Linked DNA regions of Saccharomyces cerevisiae S288C. Each later gene encodes a partner of the first gene's protein in a complex. Each region holds a gene or a part of one and is shown on either strand. Other genes may lie near its edges. The genes, in order: IMP2 and SOM1.

Region 1 (3,344 bases):
CCCAAATTGTTTCTAAGCAAATTTTCACTCATCCTAAAGATACATTTTATATCACAAGAGAAAAGTATAATATGAAAGGACCGGCTGCTCTTTGGGACGTGCAATTTTAAGAATACGTGATAGATGCTTCGTGTATCCAAAATCCGTGTGAATATGTGCTGTTTAGTTTTTTCCATCCAATGAGGATGGGAAATATATACATAAACGTTATGTAATATATAGAATTCATGCAAAATTAACAAGGGAAATATCACCTTGGTTGTGTATATGGGACGTTGTTCGACAGAACGGATTGATTTTCACCAGTTCCAATTGATATGATCTTTTCCAAATCAACTTCCTCATTCTCATTTGCACAAGATGACTCGCTTCCGTCTGCTTGAGCGTCCTTTTGTATCCATCTTTTGAACAAGCTTACAAAGAAATTTGCCGTCATGACTTGCTCAACTTGATATAAAACCAAGGGAACCAACAACTTACCCAGGTGTTCTTTTTTATCGCCGTATTGTGAAGTAATTAGTGATACACCCAGTGCTGCAGTTTTAGCCGGGCCACAAAACATAATGCAAATCGCATCTTCCTTTGAATAATAAAAAGGCCTAAAGATATTATACGAATAGCGGTACAATCTTGTAGATTTGCCCTCTATTGGTTCATGAGGGAAAAGCTTGAGGATGAACCATGGCCTTGCACATAAGTATGACAGACCCGTGAAGAATATATAAATTCCCAAATTAAAAAAGCAGAGAAATATGATGCAAACATGAGAAACGCTAGTAAACGCATCCTGATAAAAGGCAGTTGAGAATGAACTAAACATAATCAATAAAAGCATGTAAGATCCAATTTTAATATGGTATTTTTTCAAAAAGCCCAGGTAATAAGCAGTACCCTTCGGAAAGCAATTTTGAATAACCTGACCCACAAACAAGGGTACGAATACAGAGAGACCAACCTGTTTCATAACACGGCCATAAAGCGCACCAATGCCATTTCCAGTGGCAGGGTTGCCGTATGCAAATGGTGCGCGGTTAGTAAACATTTGAACCAATGCAGGTGTAATAAACGCACCCAACAAATTTCCAATGAATACTTCACAAACGCACAAAAGGCTATTTCCACCTGCATTCGTAGTCATGATAACGTTTGAAGCCACGGTTGTTGGACAAGTGGCAGTCAAAATTAGACCGATAAGTACCCAGTCATCTATTTTCGGATCATTAGCAGCCTTTACCGCGCAACAAAATCCATATACTATGGACGAGGTAATAAGGAAACTCAGAACCAGAATAGTGGCATGAGCTCTCCAATTTAACATATTTGCCATTAGTGACCTTGATTTCATTCCCAGGCCACTTTGGAGAAAAATCCAGGCGACGCAGCCGTACCCAATACTATATTGGCCTTTAATTAACCCTCCGTCTCTTGCAAAATTCGGAGCAAATCTTGCAATAACGATTAAAATAGCCAAACAGATGAAAAACCACTGGGATTTCAGAAATTCTGTTACTGAATGTGCCCAAATTTTTCGTATTAGAGAGTACTGAGTCTTCATTTGGCACTAAGTAGGTGTATTAAATGTGTGTCTTCCTTCTTTTTGCAAGTTATGTCAGAGTTGGGATATATCGTAGAAAAGGGTGCGAAGGTGATTCAGGTAGCATAGACGGTTTCAGGCAATAAAAAGCTATAAATCTCTCTTTATATAATTGAAGGTTAAAATTTGCTAGATTTTAAAGTGGTTCGGTTCTTTTTTATGCTTTCTTAGCTTCTGGCTGTTCGTTGGAGCTCAGACTTACGGGTAGACCAATGTCATCGAAATACTGTGGAAGATCAAGCTCGGAAGGAGAGCGAGGCTAAGTTCCGAGCTACTGAAAAAAATGGAAAAAACAAGTGCCTTAATTGAATGACTAGATGGGTGCTTGTTAACGAAGGCGTGCTGCTATTCATGAAGCTGTTGCATTGTACTGTACAGTAATGTTTCGAGCCGGATCATCAAAAAGATTCTTACGAAACACACTAATAGCAATTTCATGGGTTCCGGTACTTCTAACAATCAATAATAATGTGGTCCATATTGCGCAAGTTAAAGGTACCTCTATGCAGCCTACGCTGAACCCGCAAACGGAAACGCTGGCAACAGATTGGGTGCTGCTTTGGAAGTTTGGAGTCAAGAACCCAAGTAATTTATCTAGAGATGACATTATCCTTTTCAAAGCTCCTACAAACCCTCGGAAAGTTTACTGCAAAAGGGTTAAAGGTTTACCGTTTGATACCATTGACACGAAGTTTCCATACCCTAAACCTCAAGTGAACCTGCCCAGGGGACACATATGGGTCGAAGGGGACAATTATTTTCATTCGATTGATAGCAATACTTTTGGCCCCATTTCCAGTGGGTTGGTCATAGGGAAAGCTATAACAATTGTTTGGCCACCCTCCAGGTGGGGAACGGATCTCAAACTGAGTACCGGTAGAGACTGCATTAGCAAAAGAGCCATTTTAGAATGAAAATCAGCTTATTTTTATGAATTTAGAAGTGACCCCGGTATTCAAATGCAAATTTTTTATATTATGTGATTAATCTAATGCAATAAATATAGATGATTGTGATTTATGTATTGATGTTGTTGCCGTTCGGTTCCTGAATATATACTTCTTTTTTTCATAATACTTCATGCACATGTAGTATCATTTTTTATCTTCAGTCTCTAGAGAAGGGAATAACGATCTTCTTGCGGGCCTGGGTAAATCTTCTCGGTCGGAACCAACGAAAGTAAAATCTCCGTCTTGCTCTTCATCTCCACTTACTTGCTGATGATTGCCTCTCTCATCTTCGAAACTAAAATATGATGGGGTATCCAGTCCGTCCATTAGTAGCATATGTGAAGTGCTTAGGTTACTGTTACTACTCATAGACGACTTACTTAAGATGGGGAAGAAATTTTCGTCGCCTGTACTCTCACTTGAATTTAATGATGAACCACTAGAGACTCTTCTGTGGTTTAATGACAGCTTCGGAGGCGGCTCAAACCTGAACGATAGTGCAGAAGATGCCATTGTTGTTGAAGATTGATGGCTATCTCTATAAAAGAAGTTAGGATTTGAAGGGGAAGCTAGTTTTCTAAAAGAATTATTTTTAGTAGCAAATCTTTTAGATTCTCTCCTAAACTTATCCATTTCTTGTTCACAATTCAGCAAATTTTCTTGTGAGTTCATTCCCACGTACTGACGTGGATAACATAGTTCAGGAAAATTGTCAAAAACAGCTTTGTATCCGCCATCCAATATCAATATGTCGGGATAGAATAATTTGGGATAATGATCCTGATTTATTATACGATCAC
Region 2 (2,949 bases), on another chromosome or scaffold:
TCCTCCCTCGTGGGCGCTCCCATGAGAGCCACTTGCACGTTTACCGTTGAATTCCGGAGACTCCTTGTCTTGGCCCTTGCGGCCCTTCTTATGGAACTTTCCATGTTCTTTATCTTCAGAGTCAGATGGCTCCTCATCATCGTCCTTAGTGAATTCCACTTTTCTGGGTCTCTCGTGGTGATCTTCCTTGTTAATCAGTTCGTGGTGGTCGGCGGCATTTTCAAGATTTGGGATGACCAAAGCAGCAGAGATGCTCCCTAGGGCACCGAGTGTAAATAGAGTATTTTCTAACTTCATCTTTGCTTGTTAGAATTAGGTTTAGTTTGTTTTTTTATTGGCGATGAAGCTAATTGGACTCTTAAGTTTGTATGGGAAGAACTCCAATATAACGGGACGTAACATTGGCCCCCTTTTATATTCATCGCGCTCTTTATCGCGGGTGTGTTTGCCCCCGCCACTCCCGCAGTCCTGGCGTGATAAGCCACTGCAGTGGCATTACTGAGCCCAAATTTTGCTTTTTCAACAAGTCACCTAAATTTCCAAAGCCGAAAGCCCTGCTACTCTGCTAACCCGGAGCGTTTAAAGTCCACGGACATTTCCCAGCCCTCGTTTTTTCTCCTCCCGGGACCCCGGGCATAAGTGCATAGTAGGCACAGACCTGATCTGTCGGGTGCAGTTTAAAAAAGTCTTGGCAAAATTTTTTATTTATCACACTACTGTGCTATATAGAGTATATGTAATTTTTAACTATTGGTATATGTGTCCGTGACCTCGTAGTTAGTGGCTGATTTGTCGGGTGCAATGCAGTGTTCAAAAAGCCTCTTAAAAGGCGAGCAGACGTATTCGGCTCCTTTGAATTGGCACTCCCATTGCACAAGCTCTTTCAGCCGGCAGTTGGTTTGTGAGTCAAGCGTTGCTAACGGTGCGAGCGCTTGGTCCCTAGTGCGGATGGTGGTTGGAGGCGCCATGAGGGTTGATTGTCTTATCTGCGATAGATGAGTCTTTCTTTCCTTCTCTTTTCCCCTTTTCTCCCCCCCTGTTTCTCGTCCATCTCTATCTGTCTATCTGTCTTATCTACTGTTAGTTTTTTTTTCGCTTTCACGATACCGCATTACGTACTGCGCTGCGGAAGTGTGGATGAGTGGCATATACACTCTTCTGCAGAGGATTTTCGTACACAACGGTGTGTGTGTGCTGTGAAGCTGTCTGCTTCCTTACTTGGCTGTTTGCTTGCTTGTGCGTCATGGTCACTTTTGTTAGAAGTGAGCCGCATAAAATGGCATGTCGGCACAGCCTACAGTTAAAAATTAAGCATATCTGACTGTTTATCTGTTTATCTGTTTATACACGGTGAACTGTCACGAGAACCCTTACTTGCACGATTAGCAGATTGTTCAGAGAGCCTCGCTCGTTGAAGTTCTTCTATATGCCAGCGTGTTTCATGTAGCAGGAAACGTTGCTCTATTTATATCTTTTCTGACATTTTGCGTCGTCGGGAAAAAAAAGATTAAGTAAGAACAAAAAACCGTTAATGGTTTCAGCAATCGAGACAAGTACAAGGACCAAGGCAAAGGTCAGCAGTAAGCTTAGAGACGATGAAGGTTGATTACGAGCAATTGTGCAAACTCTACGATGACACGTGCCGCACAAAGAATGTGCAGTTCAGTTACGGTACGGCCGGATTCAGAACGCTGGCCAAGAATTTGGATACGGTGATGTTCAGTACTGGTATACTGGCGGTTCTCAGGTCGCTGAAGCTTCAGGGTCAGTATGTGGGGGTGATGATCACGGCGTCGCACAACCCATACCAGGACAACGGGGTCAAGATCGTGGAACCAGACGGATCGATGCTTTTGGCCACATGGGAGCCATATGCCATGCAGTTGGCCAATGCGGCCTCTTTTGCCACTAATTTTGAAGAATTTCGTGTTGAGTTGGCCAAGCTGATTGAACACGAAAAGATTGATTTGAATACAACCGTCGTGCCTCACATCGTGGTTGGGAGAGACTCTAGGGAAAGTAGTCCATACTTGCTGCGCTGCTTGACTTCCTCCATGGCCAGCGTCTTCCACGCGCAAGTTTTGGACCTAGGCTGTGTCACTACGCCTCAATTGCATTACATTACTGATTTGTCCAACAGGCGGAAACTGGAAGGAGACACAGCGCCAGTTGCCACAGAACAGGACTACTATTCGTTCTTTATAGGAGCCTTCAACGAGCTCTTCGCCACGTATCAGCTGGAGAAGAGGCTGTCTGTCCCAAAATTGTTCATAGACACAGCCAATGGTATCGGTGGTCCACAGTTGAAAAAACTACTGGCCTCCGAAGATTGGGACGTGCCAGCGGAGCAAGTTGAGGTAATCAACGACAGGTCCGATGTTCCAGAACTGTTGAATTTTGAATGCGGTGCGGATTATGTGAAGACTAACCAGAGATTACCCAAGGGTCTTTCTCCATCCTCGTTTGATTCGCTATATTGCTCCTTTGATGGTGACGCAGACAGGGTTGTGTTCTACTATGTCGACTCAGGATCAAAATTTCATTTGTTGGATGGTGACAAAATTTCCACTTTGTTTGCAAAGTTCTTGTCTAAACAACTAGAATTGGCACACCTAGAACATTCTTTGAAGATTGGTGTTGTGCAAACTGCCTATGCAAACGGCAGTTCCACCGCTTACATAAAAAATACGTTGCACTGTCCCGTGTCTTGCACTAAGACAGGTGTTAAACACTTGCATCATGAAGCTGCCACTCAGTACGATATTGGCATTTATTTCGAAGCAAATGGACATGGTACGATTATATTCAGCGAAAAATTTCATCGAACTATCAAATCTGAATTATCCAAGTCCAAGTTAAATGGTGATACGTTAGCTTTGAGAACTTTGAAGTGTTTCTCTGAATTGATTAATCAGACCGTGGGAGATGCTATTTCAGACATGCTTGCTG

What was found.
Region 2: IMP2 (region 1) and SOM1 share a complex: the UniProt entries of both Saccharomyces cerevisiae proteins name them as parts of the mitochondrial inner membrane peptidase (IMP) complex.

The regions. Positions count from the first base shown.
Region 1 is NC_001145.3:339,168-342,511, forward strand, and holds IMP2 (endopeptidase catalytic subunit), read left to right. Parts: upstream 1-1,974; coding exon 1,975-2,508; downstream 2,509-3,344. Other genes in the region: ARP9 (Arp9p), read left to right, coding at 1-110; RCH1 (Rch1p), read right to left, coding at 251-1,555; putative tyrosine protein phosphatase MIH1, read right to left, coding at 2,689-3,344. UniProt on the Saccharomyces cerevisiae protein: Catalytic component of the mitochondrial inner membrane peptidase (IMP) complex. IMP catalyzes the removal of signal peptides required for the targeting of proteins from the mitochondrial matrix, across the inner membrane, into the inter-membrane space.
Region 2 is NC_001137.3:41,657-44,605, forward strand, and holds SOM1 (Som1p), read right to left. Parts: upstream 969-2,949; coding exon 744-968; downstream 1-743. Other genes in the region: PRB1 (proteinase B), read right to left, coding at 1-297; HHY1 (Hhy1p), read left to right, coding at 996-1,304; phosphoacetylglucosamine mutase PCM1, read left to right, coding at 1,596-2,949. UniProt on the Saccharomyces cerevisiae protein: Non-catalytic component of the mitochondrial inner membrane peptidase (IMP) complex. IMP catalyzes the removal of signal peptides required for the targeting of proteins from the mitochondrial matrix, across the inner membrane, into the inter-membrane space.